Mytilus edulis: one gene and its partner. The protein of the gene in region 1 purifies or fractionates together with the protein of each later gene. This does not show direct contact. Links are inferred from orthologs where the notes say so. Each region holds a gene or a part of one and is shown in the gene's direction. Other genes may lie near its edges.

Region 1 (10,145 bases):
CATACTGCATAGTCAGCTATAAAAGCCTTTAATTAATACCTTTTCTCCTTCATTTGGATTTTTATCTGGATGAAATTTCAGGGCTAATTTTCTGTAAGCTTTCTTGATCTCATCTGGCGTTGAAGTAGGCTTCACTCCCAAGAGATCGTAGTACCCAGTTTCTTTTACCATGTTTTCTCACTAAATATTCAGTCTGAAATGAAATACATTGATATGAATCGTAAAAGTCATTTCAATAAACTGCAGACATAACTCCAACATTGCCAGAGATTAGGTTAAACATAAAAATTTGTTTGTTGTTCCTCTACCCAGAGGTTCATATATAGATTCTGTAGTTACACATATACATGTAGGCAGTCTGCACGGTTAGCCACTAGTCCGATGCCCCAGAATTGTAACGGACTAATAAAAATTTTCTAAATTTTATATAATAGTCGTATAGGGACAAGTTTTGATATTTAGTTTCTGGACTAGTAGATGAAAAAGTTTTTGGCGCAGACTGTGTAGGTAGGGAATTTTTTTTCCCAAAAAAATACTGATAACTATGAATAACAGAATAATGTAAAAACAACATAGACATTTACATTGTTATGCAAATGTGTCCACCATTCTTACAAGCACACCCGTAAACTTTGACATCACAATTAAAAAGTGATTGTTGTTAGACGTCAGAATGTTATTCTGAAAAGTTCTAAGGTCATTCAGAGGCAAATTCAGCTAAATACCAAAAGAGAATATGTTTATTGCATGTTTTAATAATTTCAAGTTATCGTGTCTTTCTCCTGATTTTTATCATGTTTATTAGATATTGTATTATAATTTGTTTCTGATATATGAATATGCTTGTACCCACAATTAAATAGCATCTCAAAGCATATACATGTATCTTCACAGAATATTTTTTTTAGATGTGCTTTCTACAAATCAACCCAGGTCAACCAGGGTAGTTCATTCAGTCTGCACCGTTAGCCACTAGTCCGATGCCCCAGTCTAGTAAATATTAATTCGGACTGGTGAAAATTTTCTATAGTCTTATAGGGACAAGTTTTGATATTTAGTGTCCGGACTAGTAGATGAAAAAGTTTTGGGTGCAGACTGTTCATTAAATCAAAGCACCAAAGGGTGCTATAGGCAGTTAATCAAAAACCCAACGGCAAACTTGGCCACGTTCAGATGAATAGTGTAAAGAATTAGTCAAAATATTTATCTCAGGCATTGTTCTCAGCTATTTCTAAAGTACCAAATAATGCTTGTACAGTAATGTTTATGTTATGCAATCCTACCACTTTCAAAAGTTATTTCCAATTTATATTTATAAAGATTCAATGTCTGAGATTATACACATACACTGTCCTATGTTAGGGGAGAGGTTTGTGCCAGTTAAGATGTTTAAGCCGCCACATTCTGTATGTACCTGTCCATAGTGAGGACCCAGTGACTAGTGTGGTGATTGTAGCTGTATATCATATTTATTTTTCATAATTGTTTTGTACATTTTTTTTAATTTTATTAATTTCTTGTGTATACATCTGATTTTAGTATGATGACCAAGTTATTGTAAATGCTCTTTTGTTGCGAGGTTGGAAAGTTCCAGGCGGAAAGAACTAGCTAGCCGAAAAGTTCTCCGGAACTTATTAACTACATTGTAGTTACTTTGTTCTTCCTCTGGTTTAAAAAGTTCCACCGGAACAAGTGACTAGTTCAAATAGTTTACATTTTTGTTATTACGTTAAGGGGCCAGCAAAAGCAATCCTTTGGGTGTTGGAGTTTCTCCCTGCAGTAAAGATCCATTGGTAACCTTCGACTGTTGTCTGCTCTAAGATCTGGTTATTGTCTCTATGACACATTCCCCATTTTCACCATGTTCAGTGTTCTCCCCAGGATTTTTGGATAGCACCAGGGTAACGCGTGACGAAATGAATTTTACAATATTTTGAGTCGCGTTGCGTCGCTTATTTTTTTCTTGTTGGTTTTTGTCATTACCTTTTTGCCTTTGTTTTGTTTACTGTGGTACTGTGTTGTATGGACTTTGGGTCAGAACATTATTGGTAGAAAAAGTAAATCAATATAACAGTTTTTATACTTTAATATCTTACTTCTTATATTTGGATCAAGCCATTTTGTCCCAATACTTGAAGTTACACTACACATTCCCCATGTTAGATTTGACCATAACAATGAACTTTGAACAAGATTAATTTTTGTTACAGAACCATCAGTAAATTGAAACCTACTTTCCATTCTTTTTAACAACAGTTTTTTTTATTTTTTTTATGCATCTTAGTTATTATTTTAAAAGTTTAAGTTTATAAATACTTAATTTCAATTGTATTAGTAATTCTAAACTCACATTCCTGTGAAGTTTAGGCACAAGATGCTTTTTTATCAATGACCCATGTGAAGTAAAAGTCTATTTAATATAAAATTACAAAATGTCTGTGTATCAATAAAGGTATCATTCTCTAAAATAATTTGCAAAACATTTTCGTTGGTATCTTCTAAGATTTTTTTTATCCTTAATGTAACATTCTAATATAATTTTGCATTTAATTTGTGCTTTATTTTAATTTTCAATGAGAAATTATATGTGAGGAGCATTTATTTGTAATAAGCAAAATCAGGGGAAATAACTCCACAATTAATTTCTATAACAGTCAAATTATTTTGACTAAAAGACTGGCGTAAAAGAGTTCATTCACAAATGTCTGCTTGTCCCCTATTACAAGTCTGTTATTAAAATTATGATCTCTTAATTAATTAAAACACAAGAGAATCATGTACATCGATTAAATCCAATCATCAATGTTAACCTCAACAGGTAAATCGATCACGTGGTGTAAACAATCTACCTATCAATACTGGATTAAACTGGTTAGAACTGGTCAATTTTCATGTAAAATTTTAACCCTCACTGAAAGTTGAAGTCATTTGAAACTTTACCGATTTTAATACGAATTTTTTACCGAAAACTTTAGCACCACGGAGAAAATTTATACATCGCGGCAAGAACGATACCACCGCGGTAGAAAATTATACATCGCGGGCCCGTGGTCCTTTAAGGGCCTGGGGAGAACACTGCATGTTCACTCTCAATTTTTTTTACGTCTCAAATTATAACTGAATTAAAATATATCTTGATTACGGTTTAACTGTCTTCCATTACTAATATCATAATAAAAAAAACACATGTATTTAAACTTTCAATAACTGTAATAGTAGGAATTAAGAAAAACTTGTTTGTAACTTCAACTTGTTGAAAACATATTAAAACATTTCTCGAGCCTCGTTAGTCGTTACCTTTTTATTGTATCATGCGATTTCTTTTCATATTATTTTCATGGGGAAATCGTTTGCCAGCATAAAGTTGCTGAAGGAACCGCATAGAATTGATTCAATAACACTTAACGAGTGTTTAAATGTGAAAAATTATAAAAAAAAAAAACATTTAAAAAAGTCGTATTTTTCTGTACCGGAAATCGAAAAGTCCTTGTAAATTAAAAACAATTACGGTGTGATACGCGTCACAGATTCGGACTTAATATTTTACAAAATATGCGACTTTGAAGTTAAATAATGCCGTCCTTTAGAAAACAATTGTTAAAGTTTTAATCACAATATTTATTGAAGCACATATTGAGCTTAATCAAAGCACGTGTAGCATTATGTTACATTGTTCACAAAAGCGAAACAATCTTAAAATGACCTTGACATCGACCAATCAGAAAACTACAATAACAATAACTTAATTTGACAAGCATGAAGGTCATTTGCGAGAAATCGGAATAATATTAACAAGAAAACAAATGAGCATACGTTTAAGATTACTGAATAAAGACGATTTAAATAATCTCAATCATTTCAGACAAAAAAACGAATAAAATGATTAATAATGATGTACCTATGTTTCATCAGAATTCTCCCAATTTTAAAAGGTACGTAAATTTCGTCTTCTATGTAATTTGAAATTGCCGCCAACTTATATCAGCTGATTAATAGACTACTGACGTATGAAATACGTATCGATGATCAACAATATTCCTACGACTTTTGCCATATGGGAAATGTAAACGACTCATCTTTATAGATTTTCGGCGATCAAATATTTCATACAATTGATCTTTGACATCTTAGCCAACAGCACAGTGGATAATAAACTATAGAAGGAATTTTATCGAGCACTACTTCCTATGTGCAACTTCAAAACTTTTGGGAAAATCGACGACCAGTTAACGTTTTTATGGTAATATTTTTTTATATTCCAAATAAAAAGTATGAAAAAAGTGTCCAATTAGTTATAAATAACATGATAGCCAGTCAGATAATAAAAGTGGCACATATTTCAGCATTTATTGGGTAGAACATAAATCTAGGGTGCTCGCATAAAGCAGCTTAACTGCTTAAAAATTACATCAAAACTTGTCTACAACATGTAGTTTAACAATATACCTTATCACTATTTGGAAATCTTTGCTGCTTTACCCAAGAATGGCAAGAATCTGTGCTACCTTAACTATTGGCGTCATACAATCACTTTTACATTGTAACATTAGATAAATTCTATTGTTACGTCAAAAATTTATGAGAACCTTTGTGATGACTAGGTATGTGGGACAAATAGCGCTAAGGTGTACTATAGTGAGTGTATACAACTTCTCGCTATTTCCGGCTGACCATTGCTGACCGGAAAAGCTGTCCCGCTTCGTAAACTTTTGCATCATACACTAAGACTTTTCCATTGTGGCGTCAGATCTTTTGATTTATGACGTCAAAATATTATGGGAACATGTGTGATGTCCAGTACAGGCGGACAAATAACGATAAGGTTTATTCATACATTGAATTGTATTTGTAGATAAAGTCAAAGAATAAACTAAAGGCTTCAGGCAGATGGGCGTGTGACTACTTGTATGTAAGAATATACATCAACTAACACTGGCAACTGAATGAAAACATGATTAAATCTTCGACTTTTGATAATAGATTATTAGTGTCATACTAAAATCTTGAACAATGGTAGCTAATATATTTCATCCCCCCTTTTTGTTGCTAAAAACCAAGCTTTTCTTCAAATTTGTCATTCTGCCTAAAAAAAGCAACCACTACGGAACTTTCACTAAAGATTTCTTGCTTAATTTACCTACTAAATTATGTTTCTTCGTTTCTTTTAAGTCTTTTAGCAATGATACTTCCTTCTCAAAAGATCTATTTTCGATTTTGTGAGAATTTTCTAGACGAACGTGCTTGTTATCGGAAGTGACGTCAGATGGTTATGGAAGTTACAATGGATTCTGGGATGTAAACTAATAATCAGCGCCACTAACCTTTTATTTTGAAAGCGAAAAACTTCTGTTATTTGTGATGAATGGTAAATTATCTATCTTGTCACGAAGTCTAGTGATAAAATATCAGAGGAACAACTTTGAAAATATCGTAAAATGGCTAAAATCGGCGCATAGCATGTCAATCTCCGAAATGTTCTGTTAGATCTTGCAAAACTGGGACGAGTACCGGCATGTTTTGTTTTGATTTTGCAATTTTTCAATGTTTGTAACTGTCTTTGTATTTATACTCTAATAGACAAAGTTATAAAGAAATTATAATATGTGTGCATTCAAAAGTTTTCTTTAAAGTACATGAAGTATACAAAATGTTAAAAAGCTTACAACATACATGTACAACCCTAAATAATTTATGAGGGGGATAGGTATCAGGTTCGTTTGTGCCTAATACACTTTCGCACCTCGCATGTTTGCACCCAAGGTCCGTTCGTACCCAATTTTCAATAAAATTCCAGTTGAATAATTAGAAAATGAAGATTGTTGTTTTTAATTGATTTGATGTAAATACTGCATGTATTTAGCTTGGTATGAGTAAAAACATTGAAGATTTCAAATGAAAAACACAAAAGATTTTATTAAACAGCTTATAGGCCCCTTTGATCTGAAACAATGAAACAAAAAATCATAGCAATGCACTAACCAAAAAATGATTAGAATTTATTCAACACAAAAAAATATGTGGCCTTTGTTAGTCTTGTATGATTTTTAATTTTTGTTTTTGTGTATAATTCAGAGTTTAGTATGACGTCCATTATCACTGTACTAGTATACATATTTTTAGGGGCCAGCTGAAGGACACCTACGGGTGCTGGAATTCTCGCTACATTGAAGACCCATTGGTGGCCTTCGGCTGTTGTCTGCTCTATGGTCGGGTTGTTGTCGCTTTGACACATTCCACATTTCCTTTCTCAATTTTATGTTGTTATAGTCACTCTTTATTTTGAAACAATGAAATAAAAGTTAGCAATACACTTAACCAAAACAAGATTAAGATTTATTCAACACAAAAAAACATGTCTCACTTTAATTTAGGACAATGACAACAAATATACTCATAGGAATACACTTGCCAAAACTTGATTACAAAGTTATTAAACACAAAACCAATAGAAATTGAGCGCGAACGTGTAGGGAGCGAAAGTGAAAGGGGGCGAACGTGAATGGGCGCGAATGGACCCAGATTCATGGGGATAGGACCTTTATCAGGAATTTCGTGATCAGGTGTTTTTAAGCTCAGGTTTTTGAGATTGACCCCTTTCAACATTAAGGAATTCTTTTTTCGAAATTCGGGATGTCAGGATTTAACATGTTTAAATTTATTTAAATTCAGGATTTCCGGATCAAGACCCCTCCTACCCCCCTCATTTATAGTCTATAGCTTGACAGGTTTATTGACAATGTCATTTATATGTTTACCACATCTTTTGTCTAAATAGTTATGTCTTGGAAGGCTATTTTATTTTTTTGCATTGATGGGTATGACTACATCATGTACATAGGAATAAAAAAATATAAAAATAATTACATGAGACAGCATGATAAACTGGAAGAGTACCACTTAAAGCGACATTGCTATATACAATATATATGCCCCCCATCCCATGCTATTTCAGTCCATAAAATCACATTAAAAATCATCAGAAAAATGTCCTCAATTTTAAAGCCTGATTGCACCATTGGTATACACCTTATAGCTACAGTGAAACCTGTTTAAACCGAACCTCTTTGGGACTTAAGATTTTCTTCGGTTTTGGCCGATGTTCGGTTTTATCAGGTTTTCAGCGCACATAATTTGATATGATGGTGCTTATGAACATGTTTGGTTTATACAGGTTTTCGGTTTATACAGGATTCGGTTTAGTCAGGTTTTACTGTATTTGGAAATCTGTCTTGATTGACATAAAAATCAGTTCCACTTGAACTATTGACGTCATACAACAATAACTTTTCTATTGTGGCGTCAGATGTTTTTTATTATGACTTAGAATTTTACGGAATGGAGGACACATAACGATAAGGTCTTTTGTACATCCAGTGTTTGCAATAAAGTTTCTAAATTTTTTTTTAAATCGAGAGTTTACGACAACACTTACCTTTATCAACTGTTACCAACCGGTCCCTATTTCTGTTCAGTTGTTTAATATGCATCTTTTGAATAGATTATTAATACATGTATATATGTTTAATGGTAAATATTTCATAATTGATCTTGTTTGATACAAGGAATATATGTACATGTATATGTCACTCTGATCTATTTGCGAAAAAAATAAATATTTCTTGACAAACTTAATGGTTTTGTTTGGAGGTAGCTTATAATTTCAAATCTCTTTACTAGGAAAATAGCTTTTCCCATGTTTGAAAAGTGAGACACATTTCACTGAATCATGAATTTAAGCCATCCTTGATGTTTGATGTGCCAAGTTTTGCTGTTGTTTTTTCCCTTATAAAGCTTCTCTGTCAAAAAATAAATCCATAGTAGAGAGAGAAAAAAAAGGAGAGTTGTCTCCATTTGGTAAAGTGAGAGAAGGAAAATAACTCTACAGAACATAAGGGAGATAACTCTTCAGGACATAAGGGAGATAACCCTTCTGGAGAGAAGGGAAATAACTCTACAGAACATAAGGGAAATAACTCTTCAGGACATAAGGGAGATAACCCTTCAGGAGAGAAGGGAAATAACTCTACAGAACATAAGGGAGATAACTCTTCAGGACATAAGGGAGATAACCCTTCTGGAGAGAAGGGAAATAACTCTACAGAACATAAGGGAAATAACTCTTTCTTTGGTAAATTGTTTGAAGAATATTATAGTGAATTCAGTGTTAAAAAAAGTATAAGAAATACTTTAAATAAATGTTCACAAAATATTTCTATCAGTAATAAGATTTCTCATTTCTATTTTAGGTGACTAAAGAAGAACCAGCAGAATGATTGAGAGTGTACAGATACGCCACAGAGGGGCTGTTGATTTTGACAGTCACTATGACAACCTCTGTGCCATGCAGGACTCATGTCCCCTTCCAGCTGTCAAAGCACATCTTCAACAGAATGTATTAGATATCAATGGAGATCGAGTCAGGTAATTATTTCGTATAAAAACAAGGTGATGAGGTATTATTATTTTCAGAAACTATCAACGAAAATACATTATTTATCAAACAGACTGAAAAACAAGAAGGTACAAAAATGTATACAACTACCAGTCACATTATGGCCTTCAACAATGAGCCAAACTACATGGTTATGGTTCAGTATGACAAAATGGGAAAACATTCATATAAGACAACCAATGACCTTTTATATGTACATTGAAATTTGGACCAGTTGACAATTAATTATTGGTACACAATACATTGTAAAAATAAAATCAGTGCACATGATACAAGTAATACACTAATTTAACATTTATTAAACAAAATAAAATGATCTTAGAATTTATTACGGGAAAATTTTTGCTTAGCTTTACGCTACTTATACTGTATACAAGGATATAAAACAATAAATCTTTTCATTAGGGTGTGCAGAGTTAGCTCCCATTAAAAGTTGTTAGTAGGTAATCAGGAAATCTCTATTAGTTCATAAGAAATTCATATATAAAAATAAGAAGATTTTATATGGTAGCCAATGAGACAACTCTCCACCAGATATCAAATTACTTAAAAGTTAATAACTACAGCGCACCAAAAGTTAATAACTACAGCGCACCAAAAGTTCATACGGCTATCACTAAACTTAGACCATACTGGTTTCAGTTTTATTTTGGACTAGCTCACTCAGTGAAAGATTTTCTTTTTCGGAAACCGATTCAATTTCAATTTTCAGTTTAAAATCTTGGAGAACTGAAGAGTTTAGCATGTTGAATGCTAAAATTTACTTTTACTTTTGATATATTTCAGAGTAACAGACTGGCAGCCGATACTAAACACACTTAAAATCAACAAAAGTTTGGAGTTTGTTGGAATACGTAGTTACTACACACCACCAAATGATGAAAATGGTAATCTATTATAAATCAAAAAGCACACAGTATTATCTGCTGATTATTCAAGTATAATTTACAGAACACACATTTTCATTGGTTGATTCTCCTAATTATTCATAAAACACACATTTTCATTGGTTGATTCTCCTTATTATTCATAAAACACACATTTTCATTGGTTGATTCTCCTTATTATTCATAAACCACACATTTTCACTGGTTGTGGATGTGTCCCTCTTGTCCTAAATATATTAATACAATGAGGTAACAGGTTCATGAAATAAATGACACAAACAATGAAAAAGTCATGTAGAGGTCATCAAAAAGACTTTAACAAAAGACATATATGATGTCTTAAAAAATGTCAGTTCTGAGAAAAGTTTTTATTGAATTAAATAATCATAAAGATCTTCCATCCTCTCAAATTACCGAAAACAAATCTGTCATATGACTATGCCATGAATTAATGACCCAATTTGTGATAAACACATGATTCAATAGTGAGCTTACAAAGAGTCTTAAATTAACTGTTTACAAAATTTTGAATTTTTTGAAGTACATAGGTTTTTCTACCTCAGGCATAGATTACCTTAGCTGTATTTTGCAAAACTTTTAGGAATTTTGGTTCTCTATGCTCTTCAACTTCATACTTTATTTGTCTTTTTTTTTTAACTCTTTTGGATTCGAATGTCACTGATGAGTCTTTTGTAGACGAAACGTGCGTCTGGCGTATATATAAAATTTAGTCCTGGTATCTATGATGAGTTTAATTATAACAATGTGGTTTTTGTAGCTGTGGTACACTGTCACTGATACTCTGT
Region 2 (10,318 bases), on another chromosome or scaffold:
GACTTAACATAACACTTAGCAATGAATTAAAACGAAAGTAAATTTCCGGTAAAAATATTGAATAGAAACATGTTTTAAGTACCCGGCCACGTCCACTTGTATGTTTGTCCATCTGATGAGTTAAGCCTTTTTTCAACTGATTTTTATAGTTTGTTCTTATGTTGTACTGTTATACCACTGTCCCAGCTTAGGGGAGTGTTGGGATCCCCCTAACATGTTTAACCCCGCCACATTATTTATGTATGTGCCTGTCCAAAGTCAGGAGCCTGTAATTCAGTGTGGTTGTCATTTGTTTGTGTGTTACATATTTGTTTTTTTCTTTTCATTTTTGTTGAGCCTTCGACTTTAGTCAAAAAAGCGAGACTAAGCGATCATACATTCCGTCGTCGGCGGCGGCATCCACAAATATTCACTCTGTGGTTTAAGTTTTTGAAATTTTAATAACTTTCTTAAACTATACTGAATTTCTACCAAACTTGGACAGAAGCTTGTTATGATCATAAGAAAGTATCGAGAAGTAAATTTTGTAAAAATAAAATTCCATTTTTTCCGTATTTTACTTATAAATGGACTTAGTTTTTCTGCGAGGAAACATTACATTCACTCTGTGGTTAAAGTTTTTTAAATTTTAATAACTTTCATAAACTATCCTTGATTTGTACTAAACTTGGACAGAAGCTTGTTTATGATCATAAGATAGTATCAAGAAGAAAATTTTGTAAAAATAAATTTCCACTTTTCCGTATTTTACTTATAAAAGGATACTTTTTCTGCAAGGAAACATTACATTCTCTCTGTGGTTAAAGTTTTTAAAATTTTAATAACTTTCATAAACTATCCTTGATTTGTACCAAACTTGGACAGAAGCTTGTTTATGATCATAAGATAGTATCAAGAAGAAAATTTTGTAAAAATAAATTTTCACTTTTCCGTATTTTACTTATAAATGGACTTAGTTTTTTTGCCAGAAACAAAACATTCACTCTGTGGTTGTTTTTAAAAATTTTATAATGTTCTTAAACTATCCTGGATTTCTACCAAACTTAGACAAAAGCCTGTTTCTGATCATAAGATATTATTCAGAAGTGAATTTGGTAAAAAAAAAAAATCACTTTTTCCGTATTTTACTTATAAATGGACTTCCAGTTAACATTACATACAGTCTGCAGTTAAAGTTTAATAAAAATTTTATAAAACATTTATTAGATTCATAAACTATCCTGGATTTTTTTACCAAACTTGGAAGCTTCTTTCAATCAAAAGACAGTATCGAGAGGGAAATTTTTATTGATGTTTTTCCTCATTTCTGTTGAGTCTGCGATTAACAGCAAAAGTACAGGGCTTTCCATTGAAGCCGGTAGCCGGCGGAAATCCGCAGTTTGCGGTGGCTTCAAGTGCCCGCTACTTCGCTGACAAAAATATAAATTCAAAAAGAAAAAAATATCTTTTTCAAATGTTTACAGGCAGCCGAGAGACGTATTGTCGCAAAGTCGCGGTCACGATAAACAAGGATGAAAAGTCAGTGTTTACCTTGGGCTAAATATAGTTCACATGAATTCAGGTCACTGATTGGTTGTCTATTTAAAGTCAGAATGCATCGTTTCTTTTTAAAGATAACAAGAGAGACGTTCCGGTGGCCATTGAAGGATAACAATAGAGACGTTCCGATGGTCATTAACTCGTTGGCTTTTTTGGCTTTTAAAACGTGAAAACAATCAGATTAGGATGACAATCTTATGTTATGAAATAATATCAGTCAAATTAAAGAAAGTGTAGTAGATCATATTGTTCAGAATCTGGAAAACAGTCTCTTTTGAAGTTCATTTTTCAAAGCCCACGTGGTGTTCAGAGAGGTCAAAAACGAAAGTAGAATATTGTCGACTCGACCTCAAATAAATAACATTTCCAAATGATTTATGTATCCGACTTATTGAATAGTTTACAAAAAAAAAGAGAAAATCAGGGGATATATCAATTTTCTGTCAATGCTTGTGAAATAATTGTATGGTTTAAATACGCGTAACAGTCTTTAGAGAGAAAAGGGGGGTCATTTGTTTACAAATGCACGTAGTTATGCAAAATAAATCGAGCAAGATTTTTTTAACAAATCGGATTATTGTATGAATTAATCTCCTTTAAAAGTAAATGAATTTCAAGCGTAAGGTAAAAAAAAATAACATAAAAAAAAAAAAAAAATTCTTTGAGATTTTTTTTCTTTCTTTAATTTCATACATAAAAAATGGTCATTTGAAAGATGAAATTAGGTGCCAGGAGATTGCGAGAATGTAGGATTTTGCTCTATTTATATCAGAGCTTCTGGGGGCCTTCAGCGGCCCCCAGACCCCCTGCCGTAAGGCACCAAGCTTACAGCTTGGTGGGCGTCCGGCTTTGCCGAACGCATGTTACAGCCGCCTATAATTTTAATTCAGCCTTCTACTTCAATTTCAATGGAAAGCCCTGAAAGTAGGCGAGACACTGGGTTCCGTGGAACCCTTACGAATTTTTTTACATAAATAAGGCCGTAATTTTTCTCGTTTTTATTGTTTTACGTTGTCTTATCTGGGCCTTTTATAGCTGACTATGCGGTATGGGCTTTGCTCATTGTTGAAGGCCATACGGTGACCTATAGTTGTAAATGTCTGTCATTTTGGTCTTTTGTGGATAGTTGTCTCATTGGCAATCATACCACATCTTTTTTATATTTAGTTTCCTTTTGAGAGGATTATGATGATAACAAGACTCGGCTAGTGTTGGCAGGAAGCGTCCCTTGAACGTATGGGGTTGTGCAATGGCGCGTCCAGGCGTGTTTGCGTGCCTTAACGATAACAGGGTTAGAACTCATCAAAACGAAATCAGTTGGAACATGAAAGGCCAAATCACTTGTTATATGAAGTCAGCATCAGAAACCAAAAGTTCTAAGAAGGGACAAGAAAATCCAGATTTATGTAAATAAAATTAGACAAAAGCATTGTTTATTTTTAGTTCAAGAGTATATATAGTATATATTTATTTTAGTTGATGAGTGAACACACACATTCAATATCGTCTTAATGGAAAAAACCAATACACTAAGGAGCTTGGTGGTAAAAACCCAATTTGATATTTGCTTGACGGGTGACTTAGACAGCTCGACTTGGAATTAATAATGCAATTGAAAAACTATTTCACTCAAATAGATAAAAAAAATGGAGGGGTAAAAACCCCAATTTGTGAATTCTTATCTGGAGCTCTGATGACTAAAACAGACCTTAAAAAAATAGATAAATCTATCTAAGATTAATTTTGTCTAAGGGAGTTGAATCTTTTCTTATAAATTTACAAAAAGCATCAAATCTTTCTTTTATTTTAAAGACTGACTAAATGTTTTGTTATATAATTGCTACACAAAAAATTTAATAATCTGACCTTCTAAATTTTGGGGCCTAATCATTTCCTTTCATTACAACACTCATTAAACAAATATTACTTTAATATGTGTAATATGAATATTTATTTTAATTTATTACTCAGTTCTTCACTTACATCAACATCTCTTCCTTTGTTTTTGTAGGTTTTAATACGAGCATTTTCATTGGAAGGCATCTTTTACAGCTTTCTTTTAAATCTGAAATAATCAGAACTTTTAGCACTTGTAATTATAATATATATCTAGATTCAGATGTACAATAACAATGTCAACATATCAATATAACTAAATTTTTTAAATCCTAAAGATTTTCATGAGTCATTTTCATTTTCTGATTAGTGAAACATGAAAGCAAGTTTTTATGATTTTAATTTGATTTTAGATCGCATACATGTCAGCAGTCTGCACGGTTAGCCACTAGTCCGATGCCCCAGACTAGTCAAATTTGGTTCGGACTAGTAAGTTTTTGCAAAACTTTGTTTGGCCCAATAAGAAAAATGTTAGAATATTAGTCTTCGGACTAGTAGTTTAAAAAGTTTTTGGTGCAGACTGATATTTATTGTCATGCATGTGAAGCAAACTTTTCCAGATATATTTTTCTGTAATATTTATGTCCAACTTACGTCAGAAAATTAAAATAAGCCTGAATATTATCGTTGCTAAAAAAAACATGAAAAATTTCTACATACAACATCACAGTAACCAAATTGCAGTTGAAATCTTGCATGTCTTTGATCAAAATGTTATCAAAAAGTAATCAGGAAGTGAAAAGTAACTGATTAACGTTAAAAAAATTGACTGATCACAATGATTTCATGAAATAATGAAATCAATTACAGCTGATTATGATAACATTTACCTAAAGCCTGCATGCAAGTCATAAAAAAAGGGGATTCCAACCATATGTCCACATAATTCATTTTTCAACAAAAAGGGGGGGGGTAAATAAATTAGCTCGATTAATACTGGTTTACTGTAATATGCATTTAAAATTATCAATTTTTAAAATAAAGATGAATAAATAACAGATATTGAACTAAAAAAACTGCACCGTAGAAGTTATATTATTGGCATCATCATAAAAAATTGCTAATCACACTCACAGCATCCAAAACGACAAAAGCAGAGCTGAATGACATTAAAATCTAAATTAAGATGTAACGATTAATTGTATTGTAATAATAATAGGCAAACAAAATCAAAAAGGATAAAGTATTAAATTTTAACAGACACTACTTTAAAATTATGATAAAGATGTTAAAGTTTGTAGGTTCTTTGTCGTAAATTATCCCTTAAAAATACTGAATTTCATTTTACCTGAATACTGATATCTTCGTTAATACTGTTTCAATAAGATTTCTTTACTGCAATTGGTTTCTGGTACAATATAGCCAATTCTTGTTTTCTTCTCTATGCGTGTATTGTGAAACTGCTTTTTAAAAATTCCGGGTAATATAAAATGTCATTTTGCCGTTTCGTTTTGATTGGATGATAGAAAATAAAGATAATTTTCATTGGTTGTAGCCACTAGCAACAAAACAAGCCGAAAGTATATTTTCAAGACTTTTCTCTATCCATATGGAAAGTCTAGAGTGTTTCGAAACAAGCACCTGTTCTACGGAAATATGTTTTTTCCAATGAAAAGCTGTTCAAAAGATATTTTTTTAAAGAAATATTAGAAGTGCAGATTTTTTTTTATTATTAAAGCTTCATTAATAAAACATTGTTTTAGTAAATATTGTCCGACTTCCGTTCATGCGCTAGATACCTATTTCCCAAAACAATCATGTCGGCAGACGAAGACACCGAGCTTCGTGATCTTGTAGCTCAAACTTTAGAGACAAATGGAGTTTTAGGAAAAATCAGGGTATTTAAAACCATACAAAATATTGAAAGTTATTGGTGGCTAAGCTAACATGACGCACATATATTCATAACGCCATTCTATTTGAATTTTAAGACGTTGCTGATGACGCTTTTGCATCCATGATGCATGTACTGACAAGAAGTTGGCAAAGTTACCACGGAATGTAGAAATATTTGTGACATGTTTACAAATATTAGCAATGCATGAGCGTCATAAATATTTATTTTACGTCGTATTTGTCCGAAATCTTGATTTATATTGTATTTATCATAATTGGTTAAACTATAAATCTGTAAAAAAAAAATATAAACTTTTGGTTCAAATTATCTCCCCTTAAATTAGAAGCAAATACATGTACTATGCATGACACAGTGATTATCGCATTTTAAGGGGATTACAATAAATCCCTTTCAGTTAAAGTTGTTAGACATAGTCTGCAAAAATATTGATAACAAAAAAATTCCCCAGGTATTTATATTTTTTAATACACACCTTGTCGCTATTTGTTAGCCATTTCTGGACATCTCACAGGTTCCCAGAAAATTTTGACATCATAATAAAAAATATCTGACGCCACAATGGAAAAGTGTTTGTTTGTATGACGTCATTAGTTCTAACGGTGCAGATTCTCTGGTCAGCCGGGAATAGCAATAAGGTGTCTTCTTACTTGTACAGGTCTACTCAAAAGACAAATTATTTATTAGAAAACATTGAATGTATGTTATTTAAAATAAAAAAATAAAAATTATGTATACAAGTTGGAAGTTTTTCCTTTAACTTGGACCAGTACATGCTACTCGAAGATACACCCCTATGAAAAATTATATGAACAACAGTACACAACATAAAAAACACTTGATTAGCCTGTATAAGTGGGTTTTTTTTAACAGTGCTTGTCTTAAACCAATATTGTCACATGCTTTGGATTTTGGAAACCTACATTGAAAAACTGTAAACATCAAAAGTGATCAGTAACTATACAATTATAAAAGATCGACAGGAATGATATTATGGCCATGAATTATTTTCTAGTCTATTACATTTATATGTTGGAAAGTGGCAGGGGCGGATGCAGGAATTTTCGAAAGGGGGGGTGCTAACCCAGGCCCTGGAGGGCATAGGGGGGGTGCAAAACATATGTCCCGATACAAATGCATTGATCGGCAAAAATAAAGGGGGGGTGTGCACCCCCGGAACCCCCCCCCCCCCCCCCCCTGGATCCGCCACTGAGTGGCCATTGACATTGATTAAGATCATGGTGCACATAGATCCAGATGATTGACAAAGGCTCTTTAGAATCTCCAGTTTAATTTGGCCTTAGCCAACAGCACTATTCTTTTCTTTGACTGAAATAGAAAATTAAAAAAACCTTTATAATTCACTGATTTGTATCAACCTGCTGAATTTACATCATTTTAGTTTAAAAGATTTTGAATACATGTAAATTAATATAGATATGATGACATGGACAATGATGGATGAGAGGCATATTAAACTTTTCCAAAAAACAACGCTTAATTTCTTAAAAATTATTTTCAGGCACAGCTGAGGGCCAGTGTATTCCTAGCTTTAGAAGAACAAGAGTCTTCACAGGTATGATTTTTGTATGCCATAATGAACAAAAGTCCTTAAATAAATGAACCTGTCAAAAATAGGATCATTTGCTATAAGTCTGATAAAAAGAGATACATGATTTACATACCGGTGAACCAATACATGTTTGGTGTAAATATATCACTTTCTATTAGCTTAAATTACTCTTTGCTTTACCTTTGATATAACCCTTTTAAGAAATTGTTTAGAATCAATCATTGCTTTCTACATTGTTGTACACTATGACTTGATCAGAATTTCAACATACTCATCTCAATGTATAGTTATTGCATTTAATGGTTTTCAATTGGATCAAGATTTTGCTTTTAATGTGATAGGATTATTAACTCTTTTTGTTGATGTGGATTGGCACTCGGTTGATAGACAATTAAGATTCAAGTAGATACACAATATCAATATTCACAGTCTAGAGATCACTGTAGACCAACTATCAAATTAAAAAAAAACCTTTAATATAGGCCAATATGTCATTGGGTTTCATCTTCAGCTAAATAAATATTAAAACAAATAAATGGGAGGAAATTGTTCTTATCATCAAGTATATATTTTATTTATAACTTGTCAGTGTCTGTAAAAATCAAGCTGAAATTCTGGAAAAGTAAGATATATATTGTATGTATCAAGATTACATTTACATATTTTACCTAAATTTTATGTGATCTGAATTATGTACAGCGTAAAACTTTGATATATTTTATATGTTGATTTTAATTAAAGATATCATCCTAATTTGGTATGCATACAGATTATATAAAAGTTTGAATTGTGTTATATTTGAGAATGAATGATTAAGGTATTTTCCCATTGGTACTCAGACTACATCTTCTTGTTCATATTTTATTGTCATTTGTTTATGCAATAATGAAGGTTTCTTTACTGATTTCTCTTTTTATTTATTTGTAGAATAAGACTCCATTTGCAAACCATGACCTAAGGAAATTTCTTGGTACAAAGGAAGGTAAATAATCTTGTATGACATGAATGAAACCTTCTTCAGTAATATACCAGTGTCTGTCTATGAACTACATTTTTTTTGTATATGTAGTTCTAAATCATCTGAATTTAGAAAAGAAATAAGATAATTTCAACTGACACTTTTAAAGATCTGCCTTCAAAACCAAAAAAAAAATTCTGACAAAGTTCTTAAGAGAGACACAAGAACATGTTGCAGTTTGAACCACCAATTTTTTTTATCAGTGACAAAAAATAAATTGAAAATAGCAATGAAATTCAGTTTCAAAGAAACACTTTACTCAATAATTATAGTCTGGTAGAAAACAAAAGTGCAGAGTCAAGGAAAACATTAACATATCATGATAAATAAAAATTTAAAAAAAAAGATTGCACTTATAGATACAAAGCAAATTACCTGTATTGAACCTGTAGTGTATTCTACATTCTAATGCTGACTGCAGTACTTTTGAGTACATTTCTTACAGCTTTAACAATGTATAAGGAAAAAATAGGATTCTTCAGAAATCAGATATATGTCTGTTATAAATGGCTATCAAGGAATTGAAAGAAGACAAAGAAAAAGGCATAACAAAGATTTATCATTTAATTTTGACTATTGCATGTTTGGGTTAGGAAGTTTCATATTGGTGATAAGAAATATGCTATAAATTTTGTCTTGAATTGAAGGATTTGTTAAATTTTAATTCATAGTATAAAAGGATGAAGTGTAATATTGTTTATTTACTTTACAGGGAAAGCTGTAGCTGGTTTGATAAAAGAATTCCTAGAATTTTTCCAGTTAGAATATACTCTAGCTGTGTTTGAACCTGAAGCTGGACTGGTAATTTTTTTTTGTAAATTGAAGGACCAACCAACATTGACAAGCATTATGGTTTCTAAAGAACTGCAGTAATGAAACTATATTCAAAAGCAGTATATCAATTAATTTTCCAACCCTCTAAAATAATGAATACTGAGATGTAATTTGAAATTATTTACATGTGCATAACTTTGTAAATCTATCCACCCGTTATTCTTGTGAATTCCTGTCTCAAATTAATTTATTTTGTAATCCAAATTTTAAACCACTTCTTGTGTATGGTTAGTACTGAACTAAATTCAGTATAATCCTAATATATTACAGAACATACCACATGAGTCGAGAGATACACTTGCCAAAGAATTGAATGTATCAGATACTGGACAGTCAGCTGGGCCCCTCATTGCAGAATTAGTTCAACAGAAAGGTTCATCACCCAGATCTAGAACTCCTACACATGTAAGTGTATTGTAATTTTCCAAAGGTATTTTAAAGATTCTGTTTGTATATCAGTTTTGAGAAATAAATCGATGAAAATGTTTCATTGTACTTTAAAATTTTCCAAGAAGCTCTTTTGTGCAGTACACTTAATATAAGGCATCAATAATTGTAATTGTCTGTTATGTTTAAAAATGGAATTTTGAAATTCTGAAGTTTTTTTAATTCCTTCCAAAACTCTTTTATTAAGTTTTAACGTATTTGTCCTAATATAATAAACAAAAAAAAACAAAAAAATCTGTAACATTAGTCTTAATCAAAAACCATATCAACCCTTTAAGTAAAAAAAGTTCATTGATCTCCTGCTCCTGACTTTCTGGTCATTTCACCGGTGGTAGTTTTCAGATTTATAAATATAATTAAGAAATTATTAAATTTCATATTCAACAATTAGAAGATTAAAGAATTCAGTCACATAAATGTGTGATTATCATTATTATATATCATGTTTTAGCAATATTATTGGGTAAATATAACTAGGGGTTTCAGTAGTGTTTACAGGGCACTGATTAGATATGTCTAATGATCTAATGAAAAAGGATTTAATTTTTACAATGTTGTGGTTTGAAGTGGGTTTAATTTTTACAACAATGTAGTATGAAGTGGGTTTATAGCATTTTTTTAATAATATGTTGTGTTGATAATGTTCTATTGCACTTACCATGCTTATCAGCTATTTAAATTTTCAGCAAGTTATAATTTGAGAGTTGTCTAACCTGCTTTAACTATAATTAACACTTGGTTAGGGCTGTTCCAGAAAATACTATGTCCCCCCCAGGGAAGGCAATTTTTTTAAATATTATGTGGGTGGTTGTATTTGAAATACCAAAATGCAAAGGGAGTGCTGTTCTAATTAAATTTTATTTCTGTGGGTGGTGGGGGTTAAAAAAAAGTGCCGTCCCTGGGGGGGACATAGTATTTTCTGGAACAGCCCTTATGATTAACATCACTTTATCTCTATTTATGCACCTTGTGTTGGCTAACAGATCAGTCCTGAGGAAGGACATCAGTGTATACCTAAGGTAAACTGTTTAGTATTTTATAATATTAGTTTATAGCTAATGAGCTGAAATTTTTCATATTGAAAATAAATTAATGCGGACATTAAGCTATGTTAAGTGCATACTAGATTGATGAAGATAACGATTCTGCTCTGGAC

Evidence for each region. The genes of interacting proteins can lie anywhere in the genome.
Region 2: the proteins of centrosomal protein of 78 kDa-like (region 1) and centrosomal protein 43-like purify together in Homo sapiens (affinity purification with mass spectrometry; 3 studies listed by BioGRID and IntAct, with this or other methods). This does not show direct contact. The link is inferred for Mytilus edulis from reciprocal best matches to the Homo sapiens genes CEP78 and CEP43.

What each region holds. Positions count from the first base shown.
Region 1 is NC_092354.1:21,993,587-22,003,731, reverse strand, and holds the start of centrosomal protein of 78 kDa-like, read left to right. Parts: upstream 1-5,252; 5' UTR 5,253-5,365; intron 5,366-8,246; 5' UTR 8,247-8,269; coding exon 8,270-8,421; intron 8,422-9,238; coding exon 9,239-9,339; intron 9,340-10,145. Other genes in the region: dnaJ homolog subfamily A member 1-like, read right to left, coding at 40-171. UniProt on the Homo sapiens protein: Centriole wall protein that localizes to mature centrioles and regulates centriole and cilia biogenesis. Involved in centrosome duplication: required for efficient PLK4 centrosomal localization and PLK4-induced overduplication of centrioles.
Region 2 is NC_092353.1:13,360,329-13,370,646, forward strand, and holds the start of centrosomal protein 43-like, read left to right. Parts: upstream 1-5,116; 5' UTR 5,117-5,192; coding exon 5,193-5,273; intron 5,274-6,812; coding exon 6,813-6,866; intron 6,867-7,790; coding exon 7,791-7,845; intron 7,846-8,593; coding exon 8,594-8,682; intron 8,683-8,985; coding exon 8,986-9,120; intron 9,121-10,145; coding exon 10,146-10,181; intron 10,182-10,318. Other genes in the region: importin subunit alpha-1-like, read right to left, coding at 3,523-3,582. UniProt on the Homo sapiens protein: Required for anchoring microtubules to the centrosomes. Required for ciliation.